Linked DNA regions of Arabidopsis thaliana. The protein of the gene in region 2 interacts with the protein of the main gene of each other region in a pairwise test. Each region holds a gene or a part of one and is shown on either strand. Other genes may lie near its edges.

Region 1 (17,513 bases), on a different chromosome or scaffold from region 2:
ACACACATTAACAAAAGGAGTATCAATCAGAGCTTCTTTTTATCTTCAGAATTTAGAAAACAGCTAGGAATCAATCTCACATTTCTTTCTCCATCTGCTTGCGGATGAACTCTTTGGTGTGTGCAGTTACTTTATCTGTCTTGTTACAGCAAAGCAGAACCGGGGTCTTATTCTTAATAACGCTAGCATTGGTCAGAATGTCGTAAAGGTACCTGTAAAATTACAAACCATGTTTAATAAGTCTTCAATCTCTAAGAATCACTTATGCCTAAGCAAATCATCTTTTATATGGTAATGAATTACTCTGAAGCTGCCCGGATATTTGGGAGGAACTCCAATGCATCTACTACAAACACAACAGCGGCGGCTCGAGGCAAGTATTCTTCTAGCTTAGATATAAGCCGAGAGTGTCCAGGAACATCAATAAGATGAACAGGCTTTACTTTTCCTTTCTATCAAACAAAGAGGCAATATCTTTCAAGTCCCTTAAAAACTTTACATTCTTGAACAAAACCAAAGTGAAGATCTTTCTTTACCTTAGTGTTGTTTTCATTGTGAAGCACAAAGGTGCCTTCGTTCGGTTCCATTGACGTTACAGCACCCTGATGGGAAGATCCATCTCGTAGCTATCACAAATACATAAAAAAACGTAAACCAAACCATCTTATAAATAATGACACAACAACATTCACCTACTCAGTTTCTTTTAGCAGCTTTTCTGATAACTAAAATACATTGTCTACAAACGAGTAAAGGAACCTTAAACCCTAAAATTACTCACTTGATAGAAGAGAACTGTTTTGCCACTTCCACTTAGCCCAGAGAGGAGTACAGTATTGGATTTTGTACGTCTAAACAAACGAACTGCAGAAATCAGCAAAAGTGACAACATTAACAACCAAAACAGAGGACATACAATGCAATAGGAAATCTATACCTACCACCATAGTAACATCCAAATCCTAAAATGAATCTAATACCAAATAAGGAAAAGATCAATGAGAAGAAGAATGTCGTGGTGTTCACTACTTACTAGATAAGAGCCAAATGGTAGCTAATAAGAGAACACCAATGGCAGTATAAAGCTGAGGTGGTGGTATTTTTTGAACAAATTCAAGTCCTTGTTTAGACCACTGCTCTGCCACAATCTTCAAATCTTCCAAGTTGTCCATTTTCTGATTTTTTTTACACCTTGAGAACATAACAATTTACCACTATTAAGATCAGACAATATACAATCAAATTGGAGATCAAACCATCAATCATAAAACGAAGAAGAGGAATTGAATAGAATTGATGCCTATAAGTGAAATTAGTCACCGATCATAAAACGAATGCGAATGCAAAAAAAAAAAAAAAAAGAGAAAATTTTAAAATTGAGATCAATGAAACAGCGAAAGAATTAGAGAAGAATACTGGAAATTTAGGACTCAGTGCTGCGAATCAATGCAGCAGAGACGGTGATGGAGAGACGACGACGACGACGCCGGCGAAATTGTTGTTGTTATTTGTGAGAATTGGGACTGATAAGGGTTTCTTGTATATTTTGGAATTAGACAAGGGTATTTTCGTCAGATATGCACAAGTTAATAAGTTATGATGAGTCAACAACGCATTGAATTGAGTACGGTTCTAAATTGGTAATTTATACCTACCAACTTGAACCGAAATCGATTGGTTCAGATTTACAGTAATTCGATTGATTACTTGTAATCACACTAATTCGATTTAATTCGTACAAGAAATTTCAGTAATATCAAAGTTAACAAAAACAACAATATTGACTTTTTTTTTGGGTCCAAACATTAATATATTGACAAATATACATTTTTTAGAAGTTTTAAAACAAGATTACAAGAGTTACTTTCTAGCTCTCATAACTTCCTCTGTTGCTTGTGTTTGAGCAATCATTACAAGAGTTAAAATCTCAGGAGCAGGCTGAATCAATATTCACACCTAGGGATGTTAGCAATTGTGAATCACACCACAATTGCTATTTTGATCATGCTTTGTGGAGTCATGACTCATGAAAATTGCTAATTAGCTGGTCTTGCGGAGCGAAACCAAGTGTTTTCCAAGCAAGCTGAGACTGACACTCTGGTCGCTGAAAACCCACAATGACTGAGTCTGAGTGTTAATTTGGTTCACCGTCCACCAGGAGTAAAAGAATTGAGAGATTGTAGCTGATGAAAACTCTACCTTCAACCACTTCGTCTCAATACGGCTTCCAAATAAGAGTAATCTACATCAGCCGTTTGATTCAAGTTCTTCATAAGTTACTCGGTAGGTCGATCCCAACCTCTCTCGACCTGCCTGCACCAACATTCAAACACAAGAAAACCTATCTTTAGTCTTTACACTTGAGAGTTTGTTTTACTGTTACTTAACTGGTGTCTGCCTTTCGAGTTGGTCAATAAAAGATTCATAGTTGTGCTCTCTTTACTAAGATTTTCCTACTTTTTTATTTAACATCATGTTAAACAAAACAAAAAAGTAGACTTTGAAGTGTAAGTGACTTTGCTGGTAAAAAAAAAGGTTAAGAAGTGCGTGAGCTTATAAAGAAAAAGAGAATACTTGGCAAATATGTGTGGAGCCAATGTTGCCTTCTCCGTCTTCAGACTTGAACAGTAGAGGCAGCCAAAACATCTCCTTTTTAGTCTTTATACTCTGATTTGAGGACCCAAAACGATCTATTTTGATCCTTCTCAAGCGTGGCAATCTCTTTCAAGAGATTCTTAAACAACTGCTTGTCATTAAAAGAAACTATGTCCCTGAAATGGTTGACGATGCTGGTCGTGTCTGCACTTCCACCTTTTTGCTGTACAAAGCTGCATATCTTTCGGATCAGGACCTCGGGCTGCAACGAACCTACTCTGCTGCTTGAACCCGAAGAAGAAGGGAATGAAGACTGTGGCTGCTCAAGCCCAACGCCAATGGCTTGTTCTCTGCTTCCGCGGATTCTGTTGAGAAGCTCTGCGGAAGATGGTGCTTTGCCTGAAGATAGACCCGCACTGATTCCATTCTTAATCGCTGATGGTTTGTCTCCAGTCTGGGTTAACCGGGAATTGACAGTTGATCCAAATCTCCTCCGTACAGATGATGGTGCACCTGCACAACCAGATCTTCCCGTCCATGTAGGCACTGAGATGCTTTCGCGGCTACGCAGCATTCGTGATTGGCGCAATGCTTCCGCAGCTCTTTGTGCCACTTGAGATGCTTGGTGTTCAAGTCTCATCTTCTCTTCCTCGTCGTTTGCATTCATTATGGCGTCGTGATTCACAGCACTCTGTGTTAAAAATTGTAAGAGAGTGAAGGGAATTGGAAATTATGGGAAAGTAAGTCGGAGAAGAACCTTCAATGAGCACTTATTAATGTACTTACATGTATTCCATGCGCATCAAAGAGACTCTTTAAGATATTTGTCTCTTCATCCATGGCTTCACCAGTTTTATCAGTCATTTCCACATCTGTTTGCTCTGAGGATCCCTCTGCAGTTTTGTGAAGAGCAAGTTGTGTATCGGATTCAGGTTTTTTATCTGATTGAACTCCTACGATGTTTATCTCTTCCGCCAGCTGACTGAAGATGTTAGAGGTTTCCGTGGAGGCGTTGCTATCGCCATCATCTTTCAGGATGAAAAGATCTTTCATATCCCGAGCTTTGAAGAATCTTCTCTGTTGTGGATTCTTCAAGATCTTATTGGTGAGAAAATGTTTATAAATCTGTCTATGATATACCTTCTCCTCAATTGTGCCACGAGTGATCAATCTGTAAACGGTAACATCCTTCTTCTGCCCAATACGCCATGCACGTTCCCTTGCCTGCCCAAAAAAGCAGAAAATTGATTGTTATTTATGGCCACGACGGGTTTTTTGCACACTGAATCTGTGACATTCAAAGTAAAACGTACCTGCATATCATTTGAGGGGTTCCAATCCGGGTCAAAGATAATGACCCTGTTCGCACCAGTCAAATTTGTTCCCAAACCACCAACCTTCGTCGTCAGAACGAAAACAAACATGTCTTCTGAATTATTAAACTCATCAATTAAAGCCATTCTCTGTTTCACTGGAGTAAGACCATCCATCCTCCGGTAACTATACTCATTTGCAACCAAGAAGCTCTCGAGGATGTCAAGCATTTGCTGAGTCTGTGAAAACAGAAGTACACGGTGTCCTTGCTGTTTCCAGACCTTGAGCACTTCTGCAACAACCTTCATCTTCCCACTGCGTTCTGGGTTTCCATAATCTGGGTTCTGGTGAGAATGTTCTCTCTCAAGTAGATCAGGGTGGTTGCATATCTTACGCATCACATCAATCCCATAAAGCGAATTCCTGTTGCCATCAAAAATCTGTTCTACTTCGGAGCTTGCAAGGAATGCCCTGTAGGTAGATCGCTGCTCCACAGTGAGACTGCAAAAGAGAACGTGTTCAGTCTTTTTTGTAAGATGTGCGTTTACATCGGCCTTCATACGGCGGAGGAGGTACGGCATAATCAAATCACGGAGAACAACAGCACACCTGCACATTGTCAAGAATTCTTTAGAGCACAAACTGTGATGAGTTAACTAAGTGATTCAAAAGAAAGACCAGGTAATTTACCTATAGGCAGTCGACACTTGTAAAGGAGAAGCATTGGCATAACCACCCACAGTTATGGGAACAGAAAATTCTGCCTCAAACACAGGCAGGACCCCCAGTTTTCCCGGGAAAACAAAATCGAACAAGGACCAGAGTTCTGTTAGTTTATTCTGGATTGGTGCCCCAGTCATAATAATTCGATGGACGGTCTGTAACTGTTTGCACACCAAAGTAATGTCAGAATTTGGGTTCCGGATCCGATGGCCTTCGTCCAGTACTGCATAACCCCACTCAATATTGAGCAGCTTCTCACCCTGCAACCTCAATTGCTCATATGTGGTGATGAGGAGCCCTGACTCAGAATTTAGAACCCGGTTTAACAAAGAATCCCACTTCTTGGTGTTCTTAGACTTTGGCTCATGATCACTATCAACGGAACTCTCACTGTCGTAATCACTTTCAGAGGCCTTGCCTTGACCTTTGCCGTGCCCAGAATCTTGTGCTGAGTCATGGAGTATTTCCACGTGAAAATCTGGGTACCATTTCTGTGCTTCTCTTCTCCATTGACGCAAGAGTGTAACAGGACATATGATAATACTCGGTTTGTACATCTTACTGAAATGCAAGGATCCGAGAAAAGATAAGACCTGTATAGTTTTACCAAGACCCATCTCGTCCCCGATAATGCCACCAGCCCTTTGGCAATGAAGTTCCCAAAGCCATTGCACCCCAACTCTTTGGTAGTCAAAAAGTTTACGAAAGATGCATTCAGGAATGTTTAATCCACCTTCAAGCTGTACAGAAGATCTTTCGTTGTCATCTGCATCATCAAAATCATCTAGCTCTTCTTCCTCGCAACTGGAAGTGGTCAAGATTCTCCTTCCATCTCCTGAAACATTGCAACAAGAATCAACATCATAACTTGTTGGTTTACATAAACTCAAGTGAGGGAAAAAAAAGAATTTGCTTAACATTGGTAGAAACTGTTGAGACTTATCACTTAAAAGCATTGCATTGATAACATGTGATATCTCAACATCGGGAAGATCCAATATCACAGCCTTATCTTTTCAAAAGCATTCGCTCCAATTAATAGCCATGAAATTCAATCAAAGGGCCCAAACAGCAATCTGTAAATACAAATAATTGTCAATAGCATCAGTCATACCACTTCCTTGAAGACTAGAGTCTTCACGAGAGATTCGCTTTCTCCATTTCTTTTCAGGCAAAGGCCGCGTCTTTTTGCTCTTCTTCCCAGCTTTACGTTTCTTTGCTTCATTATCCGGAGAATTAGGAGTCTTGTAAAGCTTTCTCAGCCTTCTAAAAGGAGCAGTGGGCGGTTCAAGCTTTGGCAAGTCTTCTGCATCAAGTAGCTTGGTTGTGGGACGAGCCTTTGCAGCCAGCGACATAGATTGGACAGCTCTATCAATAATGCTGGAGTCCTCATTTTCGTCGTCTCCTTCAGGTAGGTTGCGTGAGTTTGACGGTCCAGGTTGTTGAAGTCGGCGTTCAAAACCATCGAGCTTGTGAAATGGAGTTAAAATTCCTTTTCTCACCAGTTCATCTCTTTCCTAGACAAGAACACCCTTGAAATTAGTCACTGTCTTTCATATATGCATTTTACATACCCACAGATAAAGAGCATAATCCCACAGGAATCAGGTCAAATATATAAAACCTTTAGAAGATAACTGGACGTACCGTTTCAACAAAACCAGCTGAAGCTCCATCAAAAACAGCATCAAAATCTGTGTCCTCACGAAAGGAGACTACTTTCACCTTCTTCCCATCTCTTCTGCTTGGTTTCCGAATCTCTTTCAATTTTCTCTTAAGACTAGGCTTCTCCTTCACCAAATCTCGCAGTAGATTACCGTGATCAGCACTACTAGACGCACTCTGACCATGAAGACCAGTAAGTTCCTTTTCAAGTTGAATTTTTCTCTTCTTAAGACTTCTTAGCCGGTCTGTGGCAAGGGCATGCTGAAGAGCAGAACCACTATGCAACCCTTGTAAATCTGATTCATCATCTTTCTTTAAGCCCTTTTCTGCTGCAATCTCGTCGACGTTCTCAACAGTTGATGCAACAGCATCTATTTCAAACTTTACAGCCCTCAATTTATTCAAAAGCTCGTTTTGGCTAGATGAAAGCAGATTGGTTCCTTCAAGCTGTGTAGACTTCTCCTCCACACTCCCACCCTCATCGTTGTCTGGTTTCTTCGTCGCCTGACAAAGAGATAAACACATTTAGAGTTCAAGCTAGTTTTCATAAATTACTAACCCTTTCATAGAATCAACAATGCAGCACTAATACCAAACGAATGAGCAAATATTTACCTCATCGAGTATCTTCTGTTCTAGATCTTCAGGATTGGCCGATGTCACACCTAAGCTACTCAACAAAAACTGATCCTCGTCTTCCTCCATTGAATCAAGCTGAGTCGGTGGTGTTTGTTGAATAATTTCAATTCCACAGCTCCGCCAGAATCTTCAAAATCTTCCTTCTCCTTCAAACAACAAACGATACATCTCTTTTAAGAATTTCGTCGAACAGATTGTATGCAATCGTAAGGACTTGTATATTCCTAGAATTCTCAAAATAAATTCGCGAAATAAGTTCAATTTTTCCTATTTCAAACATTGTTTTCTCTTGATTGACGGAGAAAATCTCAAGATGCTTACGAATTCCAGATAAAATCGACTAGGAATCATAAAACCCCATGAGAATTTTTAGGTCAGAAATTTTAAAACTCACTGCTCGGCGATGGGCGAAACTGGTTTCGTCAAAGATGAAAGAATTGTTGTGGAAGATTAGAGAAATAGGTTCTTTTAATTTATATATACGCTTTTTAAAATTAAAAGAAATAGTGTATTTCTATTTTACCAATTTATTAATTAAATACTAAATATTTCTAAACAAGTGTATTATCAAACATACCCAAAAAATAACAAAACCCAAAGGAACACAACATAAAAGACATTATGCAATAGAAACTACATCAGGTTTCTGGGTTCATGAAAACTAGTCAAGTAGAGCGATTACATATAATACGCACAAACAAACAAGAAGAGAAGAAGAAAGCTCCCTGTACAAGAAATACAAAGCTCCACGAGAAGAAGAAACCAAAACAAAAGACTTCTTTTTCTGGGAAACTGTTAAAAACCCATCATCACAATGAAAACCCTCAGATTCTCTGTTTCTTCCTTCTTCTTCAACCTATTCGTCATCTTCATCAAGTTGAACAATCTGAGCCCGTCTCTGAGCAGCTTTCCTTCTGATGAAGAAGCCCCATCTCATGGCTGCTTTGATCTTTAGCCATCCTACAACAGCCTTGCCCGAGTTTGAACGGTCTTCTTCGTAATCAGCCATTGACGTCTGACCAAAAGAATGGAACCCAAAACTATCTTCTCCCATGTTCAATGGAGTTTGCTGGTCACCACCATTCATGCTAAACAGTCTCAACAGTTGCTGCATATCGTCGTTCTCGAGCATTTCGTTACTTCTAGCCCTAATCTCTTCCTCTGATAAAAACCCATCAACTCCTCTGTTGCATGTATTTGACCAATCATTGTAAGAGTTAATCTCAGGAGGAGGATGAACAAGTTGTTCTTGGTTTTGAGATCCTGTTGCTGGACCCAGTGCCAATCTCACACCACCGTTGCTATTGATCATGCTTTGTGATTCATGAGTGTTGTTAACTAGCTGGTCTTGCGGTGCAAATGAAGAGTTTCCAAAGTGCATGTATGTAGTATCAGCTAGCTGAGATTGACCCGGGAAACTTGAAGCCGGACTCTGGTTGTATGCTGAAAAACCCAATGAATGACTGTTAAATTCGGTTCACACCAAAACTTAAAAAGATTCGACATTTGTGGACTGAACCTCTACCTTCAACAGTTACGTCTGAATAAGATGTAGATGGTTGGCTTGGAACTGAAACTGGCATAGAGTAATCAATATCATCTGTTTTGCTAACTTGATTGAAGTTCATAAGTGACTTGCTGTCATACTCAATAACCTGTTCCCAGTTTTCATAGGCTTTCCTCACCAGTCCATCGACGTAACCCTGCATCATATATATAACCTTTTACTATTTTCCGAGTATATGATAGAAGAATCAAATCTGTATCTATAAGAAGCAAGAAGACCCAACAAACATACCTTTTGATTGTCAGAAAGAGAATCAGCAGGATAATACTGCTTTCCTGATATAAGACCACTAAACTCGTATATATTGTTGAAAACAACACCAACTGAGTCCTCGGGATAGTAGACGTAAAGCATTTCACTCAATACACATGTCTTGGAATGCTCTGCAAGTGTCTCCCACATCCTGTTTGACATGCCACTTCCAAGAATCTGAAAATCAGAGTAAGAGTCATCATGATGAATAATAATATTTGAACATCTTGGTAAGATACTGGATAGTTAAATCGTGCACTCACAGTCCTTAGTTTCTGAGAGTCTTTGACCATAAGACGCAGGAATTCTTTAACATTGTAGATTCCTGCTTTATTGAGTTTCTTATGGAAAGCCCCGTCCTTTCCAATCTTTTCCAACCTCCAGACCTCATCATCCAAAGCAGGTGGGTAATGTTTCTTGTACACTGTAGGAAAAAAAAACATTAGGCAAAAGAAAAACAAAGATTCAGATACATCAATGACTAATATCAAAGGAAAGCAAGAACTTACACTCTCCACGATGGTCCTTCACGGTAAAAGCTTCTGTTTTTGCCTCGCGTACACGCATTCCCTCACAGTAACCCGAAGAGACCCTTAAACCCAGCCTGAATTTTCTGCATCTAATCCAACTTGAGTTGTCCGTAAAGATAAGTTCCCCTAATGTTCCCACACCTTCTTTCAACGTGACCTGCACATCACCAGTCAAGAGAGGCCTCTTCCCTTGACGTTCTTTCACCAAATGACCCTCAAACTCTTCTCCACTCCAACCATCATCATCTTCAGTGTTAAAATCACCATCAAGCACAACAACATCAAGCTTTGCAGAAGCTTCAGGTCCTACTGTCAAAACATGTCCAGTTGTCATATCCAACAGTACAACATGGATTGCAGCACCTTGCTCCCCTTCTATCTTCCCTCCAGTAAACAAAGGAACAGACAATCTAGACCTGAATTGTAGCTGCAAATTCCTTCCACCGATACCTTCAATTCGTTTTGGAGACGACCTGTGAACTCAAGCATTAGAAGAAAACCACAAATACTCCAACCATTAATTTTATCTCTTTTTAAAACAGTCATATGTTACCTTTCACTAAGTCTTGCAGGGCCAAGCTTTGCCAATGCCCGCTCCACCTCTTCACTTACCTGTTTGACAATGCTCACAAAACAAATCAGTAAGCCAAAGAAACAACACAAAGCACCAAAAGACATGTAAACAATTCTTATTAAGCTAACCACTCGGCGAAGAATCGGTTCCAAAGAAGAACAAAGCCTCTGTAAACTATCCATCTTCAAGGCTTCCACAATTACACTGCAATAACACATACACAACTTTCTCAAATCCACAGACAATCAATATACATAACAACCCTTTTTTCATTCATACAACTACAAATCAATTACAGATTCAACAACGCCATAATCAATAATCAGAAAAATTACAAGCATCAACACAAATTACCTTGCAAGAGCTGGCCTTTTACGCTCAGGCTGTTGCTGCTGCTGCTGATTATCATCTTCCTCCAATTTTCTCTTCTCTCTCATACTATTAGTCCTCTCCATATACCTCGTCTGCATTTTTTACGCTGCTAGAAGCTCTGATCTATAAGATCGAAGCAAGTAAAAAACTTCACCAACCCAGAGAAAGAATCACAAATCCAGCTCTCAAACTAAAAAAAAAATCAAAACTTTACCACAAACAAATCAAACCCAGAAGCTAAGCAAGATTTTATGAATTCTACTTAAAAGCTTCTTCAAACAAACGGAAAGAGAAACCTGAAAATTCGATTCGAAGGAGAGAGAAAAATACCTCAAAAATGGTGTTTTGGATAGAAGAAAAAGAGAGAGAGATAAAATGAAAAGATCAAAAATTAATTTACTTGAAACACTTGTCTAGTTTTGTGATTAGTCGAGTACTTTGACTAGTTTTAGTAATTAAAGATAGTTATCGGGTGCGGACAAGATCACAGTAGGCTTGGATTGCCGTCACTTTTGCTTTTCGTTTATTGGACGACATTCTTGGGCCGGCGGCTAGTGTATGTATTTTTGGCACATGCTATATTCTAAAGTTGATAATTAAATAATAATACTTTGTTGTATAAAGTCCAATTATTTGTTATTAAAAAAAGACTTTAATAGTAAAAATACATTCATTTCACCAATAGCAAGATTAGGGATAAGATTCAACAATCAACATGGATATAAAAACATCTAATTGCAATGAAAAGTTAATGTTCACATAGATTTCTGTATTTTTATGTTAACTTTAACAGATTATATTCTGATTGGTCTATTAGTATAATTAAACTTTCAATCTACTTGAGCCCTGAGAATGGCCAACTCGGTCAGTTCACCAAACAAACAAAAATGATACAATTTTTTTTATAATCAAAATCAATTGGTTTTACTTTTTTAAGGTTTGAAATTTAAACAGAGGTTAAAAAGTTGCAACAAAGATCAGCCAAATTACATAACACTAGATTTAACCAAAAGGGACCAAATCTCTTTTTTGAAGTTTTAACCAACCAATCCACTAGATTCGATCAAGCTCCTTTGTCACTCACTACATTGCAATATATTATACGACATTGAAGAAAAGAAGGTATCGTCAAGTACCAATTAAGCTGAGGAAGAACTCAACAGATATTTAACATAAGCTTGAAGGTCATCGAAGAGAGTTGTTTGAGACAGACATCACTTTCCCCTGTTAACATAGAAAGGATTTTGTTTCAATCTTTTGTTATGTGACAAATCAAGCTGCTATACATCATAAAGAGAGAAGACAGAGTAGAGATTGTGTTACTTACGTGTTCATCATCAGAGTTATGTTGTCTCCTTTGAGTAAAATCCTTCCTGAAAATAGGTATTAACACGAGTTATCAAACCATAAGCAGACAGATCTGAGACTTGTTATCAAAGAGTGAGTTCAGGATAACTCACCAAGTGGTTTCCTGGTGTTCTTCTTGATGCTCACTTCTTCAGCCTCATCCAAAACTAGATTCATGTATTCGTCAAAACCCTGCAAAGGACGACGGATAAGCAAGGTTTGATGGATTCTCCTAGAAGAATCAATAATACACCCAAATTCAAGTAGACAAAAATCTAAGTTTAAAACCGAGTAGAGTGACACTATCACAAATATCATGTTCCTCCATACATATAATCAACCTCAGAAAAGCTAGGATCTTAACTCGAGGAACAACAAAAGTCAAGTAGACTGCAACATGGAACAACAAAAGTCAAGTAGACAACTCAAACCTTTAAGCCAATGAGAATGACACCATCACAAAATCTCAAGTTTCTCCAAATTATCATAGAATCAAACTAAGAAAAGCTTGAATGCTTGAATCATAACTCGAAAATCATAGAGGACATACAACTACAAGCATAGCAACAAACTGAAACAAGTAACACCCAAAGCCAAGTAGGCTGTAGGAGACAATAAGTTTTAAGCCGAAGAGAATGACACAATCATACTCAACCTAAGAACAGCTAGCTAATCAAACTAGTTTCTATTGGCAGGCTCTTATCAGTTCTTTGTGCAGTAGTAGTAACAGTGACAACTATCCCTTTTCAATTCACAACAAATGCAACAGTTCAAACACAGACTAAATTAGAGAGATAGTCACACTGCTAATGCATTTCAAACTCTCCTAAAGTTAGCATAACCCTCGAATGTCCTATAAACAAAGCCAGGAATCTAATCAATTCATGATAACGGAGCTTCAACATCAACTTACAGTGATTCTTCCTTCAATCCTCAAATCTTTCTGCTCAAATAGCCAAATCTGGATCCTAGCTTTCTGCATCACAAACACAAAAGACCAGGGAACAAATCAGTAGACGAACTACTAATAACCTAAAACCTCAGAGAGCAAATCAGAAGAAATTGAACAACTTACACTTTGAAGAAACCTAAAAATCAAGTTCTGGAGCCGCCGCCACCGGAAAACAAAAAGCAAGATACAAAATTAGGTTTCGATAGAAACAATAAAGAGATGGAACAAAGGAATCGAAGAAGAAACGTACGATAGGTTGGGTCATAATCCTTTGAACTTTGGTGCTCGCCATGGCTAACGTAGTTGGAAATCTCTCTCAAGCTTTCGAAAATTCTCTCTCAGAGGAAATCTAAAACCCTAAAAAGCGTTTGTCCCTCTGCTAATACGCTTTTTTCAACATTTTTCTTAAACTTAGTTCTCTCGGTCCTCATAAAACTTCAGAATGTTATTTCAGCCCATAACTAATTAATGTGATCATTTGGCCCAAATACTCTTTTCCAAGACCTAGAATTTTTTAGCGTAGGTTTTTAACTTTTTTTTTTTTTTTTTCAGAGAAAGATTTATTTTTAATATACTGAGGCTCAGTGTTACAACATAAAAGGCTCAAGACAGTCTACATATGAGGTCCACAACAGACTTTTACGTCACAAAAAAGAGATAAGCTTAAGACGTGTCAGACCAATAATAATAAGCTAAGGACACGTGAATCTTCCACAACCTCCACCGGATGAGACTCAAGTCTGGTGAATCGGAGAACCATCGCCGGGAAAGCACCGAGCAATGAAACTCTTTTTTTCTATCACCGATTATGGCAATTAGATGTTATAGAACAAACATCAATTTCCTAATCTCATATGGTTGCTAGAATCACAAATAATTCATCAAAACGGGTAAAGAAATTAAAAAAATTGAGTAGTTCAAACTTGTCCAACCATTGAATCTTCGAACTCTCTTGCAAAAGCACTAAAGGCATATCAAATTTGCATAGGATAGAAGCTTTAACCCAATCTTAGGCGAAAATAAAATTGAAACTGTCTTAAATATGGTAGATCCAAACGAGGGTAATTGCTGGAAACGCACACATCGCCGAAAAACTACCAGAGCCAAAAGCATAACCCAATAGTGAAGCTAAACAAAACAGAAGGAGAATAGATCTTGTAAAGAGAAACCCTCTTCAGATCTGACGATTCTGCATGCCATAAAGCTTCATCATCAAACCTTTGAAGTAACAAAACAAAAACAAAGATGACCAACGCTGTTAGTGTAAGCCCAACGCTGCCGTACGGAAGCTGGCCAACGTCGCTAAGTTAGCCAACGATGCCATACAAAAAGCCAACCATCTCCACTAACGTAGCTAGAAGATGTCGGACGAAAGCCCGAATTAAACGGGACGGCGACTCACCGGAAAACTATCCGGTTAACAAAAACAAAAGAAATTTCAGTTTCTATCTTTACAAACTACGAGAGAGCGAAGAGAGAAAAACTTTTTTGTGTGGTTTATTAACTTAGGTTTTTAATTTTTTATTATTCTGGTAAAAATATACGACTAATAATGATAATTATTAAAAATATTCTTACTTAGAAATTGGTGTCGATGATAAATTGGTTCTCAGTCGAACTAGTGTTAAAATAAATAAAAATATGACAAAGAATCACATCTATGTGCTCAATGCTAGAATTACAAAGATTGAAGAGAGATTGAAATTTGACCAAATATTATCTTCCCACATTCTTATAAATAAACAAACTTCATTCCTCACAACACAAAAATGTACAAAACCAACAATAAGCAGAAATTAAAAAGAGAAAAATGGTCACAATCTCAGATTTAAAAGAAAAGAAGACTAAAAAGCTTAGGCTATATCTATGACTAACTGAATCAAATCCAAATACAAAACAATTAGCTTTGTACAAAGAATCCAGCTTTGAATCTCAATCATTCATTATTTATCATCAGAGATTGATAAGGAACCTTCTTGATCTCCACAAATGTTGAGTACTCAGTGCTCATTGGTTGCTTCCATGGCTCACCATCCATTTGCAAGAATGCGTCTCTCCAGTCACCTCCTCTTAGCTCAAATCTTACCGCAGCAGCCTGAAATGATCACCAAAATGAAACAGTCAAACACATGGCTAAAAAGATTATACATTGACCAGTGTCTTTTGAAGTTACCTGAGCTATGTGCTTGGCAGAGATGAGCTCAGCCATGACAAATGACGCGTGCCATCCTTGCTTAAAACCGAAAATCTCTATCAAACCATCATCACAATGTGCTTCCACAAAGCCTCTCTGAGAAAAACCAAAGAAAACATTCGGGTTAACATCAGAGAACTGAGTTCATATATGATGAAATGGAACAGAAACAATACCTTCTCTAGATAGTCCGGTTTTAGATTGCCCCAAGGATGGCTTCCACTTCCATAGCTGTGAAGATTCAATGCGACAATTGATCTCACACTACAAGAGAAATCCATAGCATCAGGTTTTAAGCATTGATATCAAAGATTGTAATACATAAATCATATATCGAAAACTGTTTTTTACTTTTTCGGGACTGCGATCTCTTCCCACTGAGAGCAGTTAACCTTTTTGATGTGAATTTTCATTATGTTCCTAAGTCCCCTGCAAATTCATATAGCACAAACAAGGGGTCAACAACACAACAAAGGGCTTAAGCAGAGACTTACACACAAGTTCAACTACACAATAAGAGTCGAAATGGCGAACCTTAAACCTGGATCGTTGACACAAGGCGTGCAAAACCAACCCTGACTGCAACCAAAACTTGAATATATAATCTGCAAAAGCAAACATTGTGTGGTTGGTAATGTCGTTTCTCAAAACCAACATAACTACTTTAGCTTTTAACAAAGACAAATAATGAGTCCAAAGTTTAGGTGCAAATATAATAAACAAACCTTATTTGAAATAGGGCCTTGAGCAAGATATGGTTTAGTGTTGCGAAGATGGTGGAAGCCATATGCAACTTGAGCATCCATACCTAAACAAACCAGACAAACACAAGAATCTGGTCAGAAAAACAATTGTGAAAATTGTTTAGGATATCAAAAAGAGAAGTTCAACAAACCTATGCTTAAGTAATTGTAGAAAACACCTTCATAAGCCTTTGCAAGTGGAGGCGCATCAATTCCCGCGTCCAAACCCTGAAACCACCATAAAGCCTGGTTAATTACTAAACCGTGGCAATTTACAAAATCACATGCTGATGATTCAATGAGAAGAAGCAAGCCTAATGAAATAGAGCAAAACCTGATCAAGTTCGTTTTCTTCAGCGGGTTTTAAAGAATAAGGAGGATCTACGACTTCTCCAGATGGCATTGACACTAAAATCTTCCAGCTGCAACACCACATAACCAAAGCGCATACATTTTTACAACAAGAGAAATACAATAAAAGCTAAATGTTTTGAGCAAAATAAGACTTTTACCTGTCAAGTCTAGCAACTGGACCCATACTTGCGCGATGGAGTGTTCTTTTAACAGCAGATCTCCACGCAAAAGGAAACGAACCACCCTGAAGAAGAGATACCATAGTCAGTACCAATTCAAAAGTTTTGTCACGACAACATAAGAGAGAACAAAGAAAACACAACTCACCCAACCAAAACTCCTTGAAAGATCATTCCCTGTACCGAGAGGAATAACTCCAACAGGAGGAATTTGCGACTTTCCATCTTTATTAAGCTCTCCAAGACATCCAAGAACCCAACCAACAGTACCATCACCTCCTGCAACCTATCCAACCAATTCCATTCACAATTCTGATTGCTAAAAACATTCAAGTGGATCTATAGAGATTGGAGAAAAATATGGTCAATACACTCACCATAATCCTCAACCTTGCTCTGCATTCTTTTGCACATTCATCTCCTTCCGCTGCCACTTTCTCCAAACACCCCAACCCGTATCGAACAAACTCATGCGGCTTCACTTCCGTGAGGTCAAACACCTGTATCAACACAAAAGTCACCATGAAGTTTCAATATCAAAAGCTCAAACCAATAACTTGACAACATCAACATCACTCAGCTTTCCAAAAGACTCAATCTTTAAACGTAACTCATCCTTCAAAGTTCCAACAAAACACTAGATCTAACATCAGCTAAGCATAAACATATAAATCAAGCATTAAAAACTTAAAAGCCAGAGACTTTAAGAAAGTTTCCAAACTAACATAATCAAAACACAAAGTAGATACAAATTAGATTCGAAATTCCCCCAAAAACCCAAAGAAAAAGATTTGAAATACAAGTTCAGTGAGAGCAAAACCTGTTCCTCGCTCATCAACTGTTGAAGCCTCTCTTTAAGAACAGGACCATGACGACCACCAGAATTGGGGTTAATGAAAACAACCATAGGAGCATGAGGAGCCATATCAGCAACAGCACCACCAGGAAGAAGTAAATGATCAGGAATAGCCGAGGAATCTTTGCGTTTGATACAGTCACGCATAGCGAGACGAAGATACTCAGGCATCATCAACCTCTGACGAAGCTCTACTTTATCTACACCAACCCATGCCAGATTCGCGAGTCCACAACCTCTCATCGTCTTTGAATCAGCCGTTGATGGTCGTGAAGCCACGAATTTCTCTTTCGATGCATCGGTTTTTGATACCGGAGAGTCCATTGTAGTCTCTCGCCGGAGAAGAAAAGACAAAAAGATGATTACTTTTCGTCCTGTGATTGGAGAAAATGAGGAATATTCGAAACCCAGATAATCAAAATTGGAGTTGAAATGAAAAATAATAAAGGATTGTTTTTTTTTAATCTTTCTTCTTCTTCTTTGCTGAGAGATTTCAAATCAACCAATATAAAATCTTCTTTTGACAGTTTGTATTTTCTTGTCTGTTTTGTCTTTTTTATAAATGATTTAGTTTCGAAGACAGCGCACAAAACGTGTGAATTAATTTGCTTATATTGAAAAAAAAAGAATTTACACGGTTGGATTTCAATGTGACGT
Region 2 (15,111 bases):
CTCTGAAGAGAAAAAAATACACAACGCAAAGCAAAGAAATCAATTTCCCAAACCAAACAGTTCCACTCGAAATTGAAGCAGAGAGATTGTTTATTTTGAGACTGAGAGCAACATCATACCTTGCTACAGAGGCCAATCTTCAAATTAGGGCAATGAAACGTCGATGAGAGAATAGCGACTGACTGAGACTGGAAGAGACGGAGTGCGGAATTTATTGGTATTTTGGTGATTTTTATCGATAAAATTTAATTAATTATTCTAATGTGATTTGACGTGTTATACTGTTTGGTTTTTGTATACATGTGATTATACTTTTATTTCAATCCCAACATGAAAATATTATGCAACTGAAAAAGTAAAACCCACTCTAAACGACTTGCTCTAACCATCATGTAAACCAAGTTAAGAAAGTTACCAACGACTTCCTTTCACCATTTACTGTGACCTCCTCGTATGAAGGAAGCTTCATGTTCACCACTTTTCCTGATAACTGCTTGATGCAACAACAACAAGATTTACTCAAATGTTTTATAATTTGATATCGGCAAGATCTAATGAAACCAACAAGTGATCAGATGCAAAGAGTGTTAAATGCACACAAGACTGAGTCAGAGGATGAAAATCAGTAACCCTTAAGCAATACGTAATTCAGAGTCTTGAAAATTAACCAAAAGCAATCAGAAAGTTTCCAAGGACTAAAGCAAAATAGGTGTGGCAATCAGTCTAGCCGAGCCGAGGATAGTGTGATTAAAAGATACACATAGATAACTAAAACAAAACAAGGATCGGATCTGATAAGTCAAATTCCTAGGGGGACTTTGTTCAAAGACTTCATTGTTCATCCCACTTGTCACACGGCTCCAAGAGTTGGACATTGCAACTATATATATCCTTGTACTCTTCTATCATGTCCAAGATAAGATCATCCACTTGAGGGTCGTTTCCAAACGGTGAAGGATCATACTCTTCTCTATAGATCTTCATCTCCTTCAAACATGGAAAGTTGTCCAAGAAATGCTCTATCAGGTGCATCTCTTTCATTGTTACTCTAAACTCTTTAATCTCTACCACTTTTACTGGACAAGATTTGAGCGAACGGCCTTTATCCTTCCGGAAAATGCAGTCACAAGCATCTCCACATTTATCTGTCACATGGTGCACGAGACCCTGAAAGCAGAAACGAGACAATAAGGTTACTATAAGAATGAACTGCATGTTTTGTCCAAGTAGTTAGTTTCATGGTTTATAGTTCCACCTCAAAGGTCAGGGTTTCTAGATGTGGACAATTCCTTAGAAGAGCAGGCACTGCTTGCCATCCTCTGTCGTAGTCACTCTTAATGCCTAACGTTTTGACGTTGTTGAACACCGGCATCGATTCACAGCACATTGAAAGCACCTGAAACAAGAAACAAAACGCAGCTAAAATCATCTTGCAATCAATACATTACAACTAGACCAGAAAGAAGAAAATGGAAAACTAACCTCGAGTGTATCAGAATGCAAGTGAAGTTGCTGAACATTTTGTATGCCCTTCATGAGCTTCACCACATTGCCAAATCGGCGAACAACATCATCCTCTGACAAATAGTTAGTTGGGGCTCGCATTCGGGCGATTTGATCGTCATCTACTCCAAGGATGATTCGAGCCTTGAATAAACTTTTCATATTAACCAACGGATAGTCCTCAGCAACTAAATCAGAGTAGGCTAGGGAAAGCAGATTTGGAGTATCAAAAGAAACGCTCTTTGGATTTTTAGAGGTTCTGGAACCGGTGGAGCTAAGAAGTAGCTGATTAGTGAGGGTTGCACACGACACGGTTACATGAGAATCAATCCACTCCATACCTACCAACCGTAATTCCTCAATCACAGGGAAACAAGGAAGAAGCTTCTGAAGCTTATCATCACAAAAAACCATCGCAGAGCTTATATCAAGACTTTGAAGCCTTGGTAAGAAAGTGCCTTCAGCTCCAGGCCACCAATGAATACAACCAAATTCAGATTTTAACCTGAGATTGACGAGTGTCTCACTGACGAACAACTCTCGAGGCAGAAGATAACCATCTTCGAAGTCGATGATAAGTTCAAGGTCCGCAACACCACGCTGCAGCACTTTACATAACCAACGATTCAGACGAGCTGGAGGAACACCGCTTTCACACCTGAGGGAGAACCTACGAATGGGACCATTTCCCTGCAAAGACAATACTCTTTCCACAAAATCCAAGAAGCTATCCAGAATTTCTTCTCTTTCCCACTTAGTCTCTTCCGGATGAAGATACTCAGAGTCATCCAAGTCGAGATTAGGGACAAGCGTGAACAGATTCCGCCACTTCTTAGACAGAACAGATGTCAAAGCAGACTCCTTTGTGGTAAGGAAGGACAGTATATGACAACGAACATCGTCTGGTAAACTGCTCACTAGATCCATCTTCTCGCTAAGCAAATCAAAACAGTTCCACTGGTACTACAGCGGTTGATTCAAACCTAACACTTATGACTTAACAACAACAACAACAACGCGAGTAGGAAATTGATTTTGAGGCTGTGACACCGAAAACACCAACAACATTGAAAATGCAAATTTTCGCACAACTCTTAACACTACAAATTAGGGCAACTCCTCAATGAGTCGAAGAAGAGAGGGACGGAGTGCGTAATTTAGGGGAATTTGGAGATATTTTGTCAATTAAAATATTGATATAATTTTAAGTCTTAACGATTAATCACTTAGATAAATTAATAACACCAAAACAGAGCAGCGAAATATACAGGTTACACCCTAAATATATTTCAATCCCACAAGGCTGCTAATTTTAGTTTACTTACATAACAACTGTTGATGCATATTCCCAAAGACTAAACACCAATCCAAATCCACTAAGAAAAACAAAACACATCTCACAAGTGAATGAGCTCATTGTTTTTAGACGATTTCTGCTTCTTCTGATCATTTCCAGAGGCAGATGAAGAATGACCCAAACTATTCTCACCAAATATTATCTCATCCAGATCATTCATCATCATCTCATCGCTGCTGCTTCCGCGAGAGTCTTTAGGTTTAGTAGCAACAAGAATCATATGGCTGGCTCTGTTGCAGCTAATTAGAAGAGACTGAAAATAGATATATGCTCATTGAGCTTATTAGAAGAGACTGAAAATGCAAAATAGCTCAATGAGCTTTATTGAAATGTAAAGAAGAGAGAAAGGTGAAAGCTTTAGGTTGTCTTCAAGAGCAAAATAGATTTGGATTTGATTTCATACAATAGAGAAGAGAGAAATAGCTAACAAGAGAGAAACTGATTCCAGGTCCAAACTAGAGAAAAATGAACTCAAAATAGATCAGATCAAATAGTAGTACCATCAAAGAAGAAGAATAAATAGAGTATACCTTGGAGAAGATTACTGCCTGCCATTTCTGATAAAGGACGATTCCTCTGTCTCTGTGGTATGTGGATATGTGATGAATGAATGACGCAAACAAGAATTATGGAGAGAGAGAAAGGAAGAAGAAGAAGAAGATTTTGTGTTTATAAAATGGTTTTGACATTCCCCGAAGATGTTAAGGACATATGAACTGCTCGGACCAAGATAACTCCAGATCATCTTCAGGGTCTCAGATCCATCTTCTCGCTAAGCAAATCAACAGTTCCACTGGTACTAGAGCGATTGATTCAAACCTAACACTTATGACTTAAGAACAACAACGCGAGTAGGAAACTGATTTTGAGACTGTGACACAGAGGTTTTAATTGAGAAGAAAAATAATCTACGAGGAGGTCAATGCCGTACGACAAGTGAGAAGACGCGTTAACTTTAAAGGAATATTTGGACTCTTTCTTTTTTTTTTATCTCCATGGCATGAAGAAACCACGAGTCTTGGATTTGTTGGTTTCAACTTTTTTTATACAAAAACAATTTCCTTTGCTTTATGAAAAAAAACAATAATAAGGAAAGTAAATATGATTTCGAAAATGCCAGAAAGTAATTGTTTTTAAAAATGAAAATGGGCCGTTCAACATCTCAAAGGCCCAAATTTTGCCGATATAAAAAAGATTGGGAACAACACTTTTAAACATATTAAGGAGAGACCTATTCGTGTGGCCAAACACCAGAATATCGCCAAAATCGTTGAAACTTGAACGAAGAAACAGACTTGTCACAGCTCAGCCGCCGGAAGACTTTAAGGTAACGAATCTTCCATTAACCGTCCCTCGTAGATTTATTTCTACAATTGATAATGCTTATTAGTTTGTTGTCTACTTAAATTCCCTATTGGTGAAACCCCAGAATCGTCAAGTAGCTTTTTTATCGATTCAATAGCTCCAACACAGCTTTTGTATGTTTAAAACTAGCTTATGTTTTTTACTTGATTCCGAGAGAAACAAGTACTAATGCACTAGTTTCTTAATTCACTTTTAGATTCCCAAAATTTGTTACTATGTTATTTTCTTATCAGAACACTGATTTTAGTTACCACATTGATTCAACATTGTTTGAGTTAATGATAGTTGTGAATTTTGTTTGCTAATTCTTGTAGGAGGTATGGATTTGGTGTGGTTATTAAGTGTTTTACTTGTTGGAGCTGCACTTGGATATTACATCAGCACTTTACGACAAACCCGCCGAATCTTTCTCTCCTCCAAATCTGTCGCCATAGATGCAGGATCCAGCGGGAATAAGAAAACCAAGTCCAAGGAACCCCTCGAGATAGAGAAACTCGCTGATTTTCGCAAAAATTTCAAAATGGTACCTAGCCTCACTCTGCCTCCTTGTCTTTGTATTGCACCAAGATACCAGTAGCTGATATAAATGCTTCTTGTTGTTGTTGTTGTTGTCTGTGTAGGTTTTGGTTGTGAGGAATGATCTTAAAATGGGTAAAGGGAAGATTGCAGCTCAATGCAGGTGATTATCAATCCTCTTTCAGTTTTCAATTGCATTTCTTGAATTCAATTAACAACTCCTTTTCTCTTGTTTTGCATATTATATGTAGTCATGCAACTTTAGGTTTATACAAGAAACTCCTTCAACGGGCGCCAAAAGCCTTGAACAGGTAGGTATGCGGTATGCCACACCATCTCATACTCTACTTCAATTCTATGTTTCTTTTTCAGGCTACGGATGGAATTAACAGTTACTTATTGCTCTTGCAGATGGGAATATTGTGCTCAGCCAAAAGTTGTTGTCAAAATTGAAAGTGAGGAAGAGATGCTAGTTTTGCAAGTGAGTTTACTGAACATGTGCTACGTAAATATACTTGCCCTTTGCAAGATTGCAGTTTCCTAGGTATTGAATAAGAGAAGAAGAAAAAGTCATAAGATCCTCCTATGTGAAGAGTGTAACAATCTTGTTGATACCGACAGGAAAGAGCAAAGACCCTGAAACTGCCAACCCATATCACCATTGATGCGGGAAAAACACAGATCGCTCCAAGTGAGTTTCTATAGTTACTGTTATTTGGAATCCTCCTGCTTAACCCTAGTCTGACATTAATAGAAAAACTTAATATGCCTACTTGTTCTCTTCTTTTCCAGATTCAAGGACAGTAATGGCTATTCTTGGTAAGTTATTATCATCTATGAGAAGAGATGAGTTATATCACAAATTGTAGTTACAAGTGCAATTGTTTAATAAGTCTATTACTTGTGCAGGACCTGTTGATAATGTTGATGAAGTAACAGGTGGACTAAAGCTTATGTAATAACTCTTGGATTCGACATTACCAACACTCTGGCAGAAAGGAGAGCATGCTAATTGGCTCCCAAGTTTTCGACATTTCTCGGTGACAAATCTGTTTTCCCTTCTTCTGAGTAGATAACTCCATTTTACATGGATTTGTACAATTGTCTTACTAGAAGATAATCATATGACAACATTTGCTGATTATCCACAACATTTTAAAGATGAAGTTTTGATGCTCTCCTTTGTTTTGTCTATTGTATCTATAAACTGAAGCGTTTAAGCTACGAATTGATTTTGACTGATTTTGTCCTAAGGAGAGTCTAATTCCTGCGCAACAGCTAATCAAAATATACAGCATAAGTGTTTCACTTCTTGCTATAGTTAGTGGTCGTTTGCTAAAATAGTATTGATGTCACTGTATATCGTGCTACCAATTACTATATATTTCCGGGAATACTGCTTGTAATATCCATTTCAAATGTTTGTTTATTCTGAGTTCTAGCATTTAGCATAGTCAATGAATGCGTATACACTCAAAGATTGTTAGTTGTTAGCAACATGTGGGCTAAATCTATGTAACTCGTGCAGGACTGGTTGAAGAAGACATGTGGGCTAAATCTATGTAATAACTCTTGGATTCACAAATCATTTGACATATCTCGGTGACAAATTTGTTTTCCCTTCTCCTTAACCATTATTGGGGATCGTTTTCGAATTTACATGAATTTGTGCAATTGTCTTACTAGAAGATCATAATCATACGATATTTGCTGATTATCCCCCATACATATAAAGATAAAGAGTCAGTTTTGATGCTTTCTTTTGTTTTGCATATTGAGAGACCTTTATCTCCATAAACTAAAGTGGCTAAAGCGACGGGTGGAGAAGTGACTCACACGCATAGCAAAGTTTTCTTGCCCTAAAACCAACAATGATAGCTTTCTCTTCAAGCTATCAAAATTTCATCAAAGAATAATATGAAACAATAAATAACACACATTTTCCATGGAATCGCACCTACACACATATACTTCCAAATGTCTTTGATTTGAGGATGAAGCCAAAAAAACAAAACACAAGTATTTCAAACTATGTATATATATACCTTTCTTTCTTCAACCCCAAGCATTATCAAACGCAGCTGAAGTAATCGCTTGAACAAACTCTTGGAAATCAATACAACCATCGCCGTCTCGATCAGCTTCTTTGATCATTCCCGTTAACTCCTCCGCCGTCAACGCGTGACCTAGCTTCGCCATCGAATGGGCTAACTCCGCCGCCGTTATGTAACCGTTTCCATCGCGGTCAAACATTCTAAAGATGGCTTTAAGCTGATCATCCGTGTAAGGACACTTGACCAGATCTGGCTCGACGAGGGCGACGAACTCGGAGAACTCGACCAGTCCGTTGTTATTCCGATCTGCTTTCTGGATCAATGTGTCGAGTTGGTCTTGACTCGGCTTTAGACCGAGAGATCTTAGAAGTGAGCCTAACTCGAGCTCCGTCAAACTTCCATCCTTGTTCTGGTCAAATGATCGGAATATCTCCCGGAGCTCCGCTAGTTGTTCGTCGCCTAGTTTCGCCGGCGCCGGTTTGCCTCCGTCGCAGCTCATCTCGAATCTGATTTTGAATACTGTCAAGCTTCGATTTCGATGAACAACATTTTTCTTTTTAGAGTTGATTTGTTTCTTCTTGACAAGTCAACGATGACAGGTAATGGATTACAAATTTCAAACGAGTAAAGATTTTGATTTTCTTATTAATGAGCAAGAGAATAAAAATTTTATTTTATTTAAATCAAATAAATGATTGTGGATGGAATACGAAATTTTTTAAATTAAATTATTAATTGAACCAATTATTGGAACGGTCAAAGGTTGTTCGGTGGAGGGAAAACAGTCGTGCTAAGCGTTAATTCACCGGAACTGGTTTGTAGAAATGGATGCCAAAAGATTTCTTGACAATAGAAAAATGTTATAGCTTTGATTCGTATTTTAAAGAAGATAATATTTTCGACATTTGTTAGCTATATATGAATCGAGTGTTCGACATACGTTATATATTGCATGCATGAATGTTCAAATTTTCTTTCAGAGTAACTATTTTATCCTTAATATATGGTCTTTATCAATTCTTTTAACAAATTACATGTTTATTAATGTTCATATCCTCTTTTAAAGCAATATATCCATGAGATATCTGTGAAATTTATCATATGTAAAATATTTATATAGTTTTCAGAAATAGATATATATCATATAAGCTATATAAATTACAACTAATGGTAATATCATATGTAATGTTGTATGTAATGTTAAAAGCAAGTTTAAGATTGATACAAACGACAAATGGATCTGGTTCGGTTGCAGTTTCAGAGCTTAACATATGCATGTACATACACTTTGATTCCGTGTAATCAATGACTTGATCCTTTTAAACCACTTTGTTACTATATCCACACGACACACGTTCTTCCTTTTTACTCTCTCTTTAGATGATTTCCTTTAGACGAAATTGGAACATTAGTTTTACTCAAGAAACTAAAAGTGAAGGACTGATAAAAAAACACTAAAGCAGGTAAGATTTGGCCACAGGTTAACCAAAATGCCAATTTTTGCACTTAATGTAACAAAAATAAACAAGGATCTCTAAAGACATACACAAGAACAGAAGAATATCTCTCACTTTGAAGCATCTCCTTTTCATTCTGTCAGTAACAAACAAAGATATTGCAATGCAAAAATCTTTTAAGGCAATATTTCTCTTATTTTATTATACATTGACAAGAATTAGAGTTACAACAGTTTGATACATACATACATAGTACCTCCTTTGGTCATATTCTTTTTGTTGTTGCGGCTCCACAAAATCTTAACCCATCTGCGATAACAAGACAAAGACGAGGGGTTTGGTTTTGCACAAAATTTAAATTTTGGAAAGTGTGTGGTTTATAACATATCAATATAGATAGACTGATTACCTCGTGAGGAAAGATTGTGGCCTGTGGCAATCTCATTTTCTGAGAGCATCTGATGTGAGAAGTCCCATCTGTTCAGTAAGATGGTTCATTTGTTGATTCTTGCTCCACACATTACTCAGGGTTGATTGTAACTCTAGTTGCTCCAATATCAGTTCATTTTCCACTGATCCTGAGATTAACTCATCTGTCTCACCAATCACTGGGCTCTCACCAATGAACTGTTCCCAAAAAGAATCTTGGACTTCAGGAAGCAACTCATTTAAGGTATCAGCTTCTAGTTCGAGTGCGCCATCCAAAACAGCCATTATTGGATCCAAACACTCTCCATTATCTGTCTCGCATCCAACAAGATCCGAACTTGAGCTCCCAGAAGCTGCTGCTCCTTGCGTTGGAGGTAAGAGATCACCTTGAGAAAAAGGCAAATTGGTCTCCATGACTTGATTTGTTTCACAAGGCTCGTGGTACTTCATTGCAGGATAGAAGCCTGCAGGAATGGATGAAACATCTGCCAATGTAACTTCAGGTGATCCATTTGAGGAGCTCCCATTGTCTGAAATGTTAGAATTTGGAACATCGCCCAAAAGAAAGCTACCATTATTGCTTGAGAGAGATTCATGGCTAGGTGCATTACTCATCTGCTGTATCTGTTGAAGCATAGTGTTTGTTGCATCGTTCATCGATGACTGATATCTCACAATCTGGCGGCTAAGACCATTAACCCCATGACTGCCAGAATTCATCTGGTCCTCAACAGGTAGCCTCCTCTTTTTGTTGCTTTCAGAAATGTGTTGGTTTGCTTCATTACTCTGCTGAGAAAATTGGTTTAAGAAACCTGGACTTTGGACAGCCTTTGCTAGAAAGGACATCATCTGTTGCTGCCTCTGCTCCATCACATGAACTTTCTGCCCCACATTCTGCAGATGATGTTCGGTAACTTGTTGTTGCTGCCTCAACCTTACAAGTTCCTGCATAAGGACGTTCTTATCGCGCTGAAGTCTTTCCACTTCCTCTTCGAGTCCAAATTTGCCCACTTCAACGCACGCACCCACAGATGAGTGCTGAACTTGAGGTTGTTGTGGAGGCTGCACTTGTGCAGGTTTTCGCCGGACAATACTCTTTAGTATTTGCTTTTGGCCTCTTAAAAAGCCCTCGTTTGCAAACTCCCAGCGGTCTGGATCAACTTTTCTAAAACCCTGAAAAAAAGAAGCATGGAGAATGGAACAGTCATCAACCGCAAGAAGTTACTTGGATTCCGTTGCAATAGGAAGCCAACATAGAAGATTTGTATAAACATAAAGACCATTAAATACGTTAATAACAACTATTCTAGATATGGTATGATACGTTCACTGGGTCTAGCTGCAGCACCAAACTACCATGGTCCAAGGAAACTAATACAGTTGTTAGTGTATCGGCATGTACCTGGACGGACAAATACAAACGAATGGAAAGCTAACATGGGACAACTGATAGAAATTTTGTTTTGTGACTTAAGAGGCCAGAAATGGAAGTGCTGAATCAACCAATCGTCAGACACATATGAGCACATGTCCAAATAAGCCTGCAAAGTTCGTGGAACCTTTTGGTAAGTAAATAAGAACAGGGGAGGAACAAGCTACGCAAGAGTATACACTTGTTAGTTTTGCTTGACCTAAGAAAATTCATTCCAGCCTCACAGACACGGATGCAAGCTCAGATACTTAGAAAAACAAAAACATATATGCCTGCAGTTCACAGGGTATACATGTACAAAAAACAACTGAAGAACAATACAAATATGTGAAATTATCTTGCACGAGTTTGTCAGAACCCAAAAAGATCCAATCTTAACAGTTAGTGCAACTAAAATCAACATTAACACAACCTACTAGACGTGCATAGTTCAACCACCAGCGTCAACAACTATATAGGAACATCAATCAGTAGCATCATACTATACACTAAATAGGAGTCGACTTCTCAAAGCACCTTCTTGCAACCTTAAATCATTCGTGAGTTTTATCAATAACTAATGCTTAATTCAACCACAAAAAAAACAAGAGAGTAAAATAAAAATGAAGCACATAAAGTAAGATTCCCTAAAATCGAACTACGAAATTGAAGAAAATCGAATCAATGAAGAGAAAAACAAATAAAAAAGAATCGATCGAAGTTCACTCACATAAGTATTGAGCTGTCTGACGAAGCTGGAGAAATTGTTGTGCTTGAAATACTTTGGTAGAAACTGTTTGGCGAACTCAGGCACGTTCCAAACCACGAAGCTGTTGTTTCCGCTGCTCCAAGACACCACGTCGTCCGTCAATGGATCGTCAACCATATCGTACGTTTTGCTCAGAAAAGGCGGAATGGAGCTCATCACCGCCGTCGAAGATTTCGCCGTCGCTACAGATTCGCAAACCGTTCCCATAAATCAAAATCGCAATTGATTCCGGTGTACCGTCTTCTTCAACAATTCCGAGATTCACTACTCCGGTCTTCGCAAACCTTACAGAGATTTATATTCGAAGATCATCTCTTAGCGACGAAGAGAAGAAGAAAGAAGCTCTCTCTCTCTCTGTCTACACTTATATTAAACTCTGGAGATAGCTTTTACCTCTGCTCTTTTATTTATACACTCTGATTTTTTTAATTCCAGAAAGCGGTGGAGTTTCGCAGAGTGATATAACGTGTCGTAATCTCTACCGTTGATCTGATTACCTCTGCAACGTCCGATTATTAAATTAAAAAATTAGTTTTGTTGTTAAGATAAGAAATACCACGTGGGCTGGACTAACGTGCTTGGCCTTTTTAAAAAAACATTAATTAACGTACGTACCTGGTCTTTTTCTGATTAACGTATCTGGTCCTAAGCTCTTTTTTTCATACGTGGCACTGGACTCGCGTTACTTTTCTCAATTTTTTCCATTTGCGTTTCACGTTTTTTTTTGGATAATTTTCTGCTACTCAAAGTTTTGTTGTTACGAAAACGTTGAGTCTCTCTCTCTCTGCTTGCCGCCGAGACGGCCAATAATTTTTTTTTTAAGACAATATTTATAAATCTGAAATAAACATCGATCCAGATTTGTGGATTATAGAAATCTTATCAAATTTTATAAGATTATTTCTTTCTATGATATCTAACGGCTCATCATGTAAGACTAATCTAAATTTGTAACGAAGAAAAGTGGAAAACACATAACAAGTGTATTGGCCCGCCTAATCGAGTTAATAGGGCAAGGAAATTCTCCTTTACTGCCTAACTCTTCTCCAGTTTGATTTTTATTTTTTGTTGTGGAGGGGAATATTTTAAGGTTCTCTTACCATAGTACAGACTTATAACGAATAATAATAAAAAGCAGATTATGAATCGAAAGTACGAATTTTTTCAAATCCATTTTTTTCAGATAGAAAAAACAGTACGAATTTTTATTGTTAAAAATGGTTATATTATTGAAAATGGAACAATTTTTCATTTAAGAGAATCGAATATTCCATTCATAAATAGTACATTAGTACTCTCCTTCTAAAAGAGGCACGTGATTGGTTGTCGCAAAGCACACGAGCCAAGATGCTTCACTTGGAACGAGAAAAAGCCCCAAGAGACAGAGGAGAGGGCAAAGCAAGCAAGCACCTTTTTCTTTCCCATGCTCGAAACTCGGTTCTTGATTGATTCCTTCGCCGAAGATTAACCAATCAAATCCAAACAAACCCACTCAGATCCAGATTCGTTAAATCTATCCGGATCCATTTACTTCAACGGGTCGGATCCAGTGATCTGGCACTTCACAATGGGAAGTGGCTTTTCTGGTTCTTCGGATACCAAACAATGTCGCGATTTCCTCGAAGATTCATAGATGATTCATCAATGGAAGATGCAGGAATCTCTCTTTGCCCAAGTATTCACTATAGACCTATAAACCCTAATGATCTAGATCGTTTGGAGCAAATCCATCGCGATATCTTCCCCATCAAGTATGCATCCATCTACTTGGATTTTCCTATGTTGGTGTCTTGTGAAAAGATTTCTAAAGTATTGATTTTTGTTTTGTCAGGTATGAGTCTGAGTTTTTCCAGAGTGTTGTGAACGGAGTTGATATCGTCTCATGGGCTGCTGTTGATCGGAGCCGGCCTGATGATCACTCTGATGAACTTATTGGTTTTGTTACTGCCAAATTTGTGCTTGCCAAAGATAGCGAGGTTAGTTTTCATTCTATGAATTCGTCTTTTTGTAATTCGAACAATAATGATCTTTCAGGTCCTGTAATCACCTTGAATGTTGAACTAGTTCATAATGCTTATGGTTTTTGGTTCGTCTGTGATCATGTACACTAAATAAAAGTTATTTCACTTGTCAAAAATCTTTAGAACAGCGGCTTGTAATAATGTCTGAATTATGATTGAATAATCTGTTTTGGGAGCTCTGGTAATGCAATTGAGTCTAGTGTTGTTTTTATCTTCTTATTATCTATCTTCATCAGCTGGCAGATGGTTTCTGTGTCTTGCACAGATAGATGATCTTATACATTACGATTCCTCGAAAGGAGAGGAGACTTTGATATACATCTTGACACTCGGAGTTGTAGAAACATACAGAAACCGTGGAATCGGTACATGACTCTTATAATACTAATAAGTATCTGAAACATGTTCTATATATTGCTTGGTTTTATAATTTCTGATGTTTCTGCAACTTTTTTTAACTCTCAGCAATGTCACTTATTAGTGAGGTAATTAAATATGCTTCCGGTTTATCTGTGTGTCGCGGAGTTTACCTTCATGTGATTGCACACAACAATGCTGCGATCTGTTTGTACAAAAGATTGATGTTCAGATGCGTGCGGAGATTACATGGATTTTATCTAATCAATCGACATCATTTTGATGCGTTCTTGTTTGTCTACTTCATCAACGGTTCTCGAACTCCTTGCTCACCCTTGTAAGGAGATTTACTCACAGACAAAACAAGTCTTTGATTCTCTTGTACTCTATAATGGTTTACAACAATTTACTGTAATTTGCAGAGAGGTGGCGATGTTTGTTGTGAATTATATGAAGAGTGGTATCAAGTCAGTGGCATCTAAGCTGGCTAACAAGGATGAGAAAGGTTTGAAATGGCTGTTTTGCAAAGACACGGATTGTGTCTAACCCTCGCAAACCAAACCGAAGCTAGGGTCATCATCAGCGTACGAATTCATTTAACTTAAAACTATATTTCCCATTCATTTGATTTCTCATTGTGAACTCTGTAATGAAAAGGTAAATAGTCACCGTTAATGTACTGTTTTTTGGGTTTTATACGCTGATCATTACGTGTTTATAAGGTGTAAGGAAGTTCTTATGAGTTTTTCACCACCCTTCTTAAAATAGTTAGCTTGGTTGAAAATAGCTCTTTTGCTTCATTGGCAATTATCCAAAAACAAAATCACCAGCTTAGGATGTCAAAAAATAGGTTAAACGATAATTTTATTTACTTCCCTCAAAAAAGCCTGAGAAAATCCCCATCAAAGGCCAAAAGAACAGAAAAAAGTTTTTTTCACGCGGTGGCAATGGCAATGGCGTCTGCTTCTTCCTCCTCCTCCTCCATATCCGTCATCATTTTCCTCCTCTTGGCGCCTCTCTGCCTTTCACGTGAGCCACCTTCACAAATCCCAAACGGAACCCTAGATCTCTCTTTACTATGGTACGGCCAATTCACGCCTACTCAAAAGGAGAGGGTTCACGATTTCATAGAATCGCTTAACTTCGACGCCAAGGAAGGTCTTGACCCGAAGGTATCGGCGTGGTGGAAAGTGGTGGAGAGTTACCAAGAGAGGTTTGAGGTGAAGGATATTTACCGACAGAAGAAGAGTAACAGAACCGTAGCTCCGAGGATTAAGGTGAAGGTTGTCCGGAGTTATGTGGATGAGAAGATGAAGTATGGAAAGGAATTGACAATGGGGAACGGTGAGAAACTTGTTGAGACGGCTATCGGAAATATGTCGAAAGTGGTTCCCGTGGTATTACTTTCGGCGCAAGTTAGGGCTCATGGCGTAGGGTTTTGTGACGGAACTTGCCAACATAACGCCCTAGCCAAAATTAAAGGTTTGATTTTCTCTTCGTTTTTTTTTTCCGTCTACATCTCTCAGATTTAAACCTGGATTAATATGGCACCGTGAGAGATCGACACTAGTACAATAAATATATTTTAAGTATGTCTTGATTTTCTCCTCGTTAAATTGCATAACATTAATCTATTTTACCCTTGAGAAAAAGATTATTGGTTCTACATAATTTTGTAGCTTTTTTAGTTTGTTCTAAAAGATTGTAGTATTAGACAACAAACAAAAGAAAAATTTGACGTCATTACGTAAATCCCACGCAGGTCAAAAAGAACCACGACGGTACATAATGGTAAGCAACCCGGAGGTGGAATGTCCCGGAGAGTGCGCTTGGCCTTTCCACACGGCCGATAAGGGTCCACGTGGCATGACC

What was found.
Region 1: the proteins of AT3G03000 (region 2) and AT2G18750 interact in a two-hybrid assay, tested with the Arabidopsis thaliana proteins (one study listed by BioGRID).

What each region holds. Positions count from the first base shown.
Region 1 is NC_003071.7:8,118,643-8,136,155, reverse strand, and holds AT2G18750 (Calmodulin-binding protein), read right to left. Parts: upstream 11,029-17,513; 5' UTR 10,562-11,028; exon of another isoform or gene 10,355-10,561; 5' UTR 10,330-10,354; coding exon 10,214-10,329; intron 10,064-10,213; coding exon 9,988-10,063; intron 9,898-9,987; coding exon 9,839-9,897; intron 9,759-9,838; coding exon 9,265-9,758; intron 9,180-9,264; coding exon 9,019-9,179; intron 8,933-9,018; coding exon 8,735-8,932; intron 8,640-8,734; coding exon 8,462-8,639; intron 8,380-8,461; coding exon 7,793-8,379; 3' UTR 7,454-7,792; downstream 1-7,453. Other genes in the region: AT2G18770 (P-loop containing nucleoside triphosphate hydrolases superfamily protein), read right to left, coding at 81-212, 304-452, 537-626, 782-864, 1,034-1,202; CHR8 (chromatin remodeling 8), read right to left, coding at 2,654-3,286, 3,382-3,819, 3,909-4,518, 4,600-5,644, 5,747-6,149, 6,280-6,801, 6,913-7,002; AT2G18740 (Small nuclear ribonucleoprotein family protein), read right to left, coding at 11,446-11,455, 11,559-11,604, 11,692-11,770, 12,492-12,554, 12,654-12,680, 12,781-12,822; DGK3 (diacylglycerol kinase 3), read right to left, coding at 14,467-14,625, 14,704-14,820, 14,901-14,988, 15,076-15,153, 15,259-15,329, 15,450-15,532, 15,620-15,695, 15,802-15,889 and 4 more. UniProt on the Arabidopsis thaliana protein: Transcription activator that binds DNA in a sequence-specific manner, likely 5'-GAAATTTTGG-3', to promote the expression of target genes.
Region 2 is NC_003074.8:669,571-684,681, reverse strand, and holds AT3G03000 (EF hand calcium-binding protein family), read right to left. Parts: upstream 7,443-15,111; 5' UTR 7,295-7,442; coding exon 6,797-7,294; 3' UTR 6,502-6,796; downstream 1-6,501. Other genes in the region: AT3G03030 (F-box/RNI-like superfamily protein), read right to left, coding at 832-1,167, 1,256-1,396, 1,483-2,430; AT3G03020 (uncharacterized protein), read right to left, coding at 3,402-3,605; AT3G03010 (Peptidyl-tRNA hydrolase II (PTH2) family protein), read left to right, coding at 4,545-4,748, 4,846-4,904, 4,993-5,052, 5,153-5,222, 5,363-5,432, 5,534-5,560, 5,651-5,700; HSFA1E (heat shock transcription factor A1E), read right to left, coding at 8,694-9,854, 10,823-11,068; MCC1 (MEIOTIC CONTROL OF CROSSOVERS1), read left to right, coding at 12,467-12,612, 12,693-12,837, 13,148-13,247, 13,348-13,576, 13,662-13,785; EXL6 (EXORDIUM like 6), read left to right, coding at 14,187-14,721, 15,002-15,111. UniProt on the Arabidopsis thaliana protein: Potential calcium sensor that modulates ion selectivity of NHX1.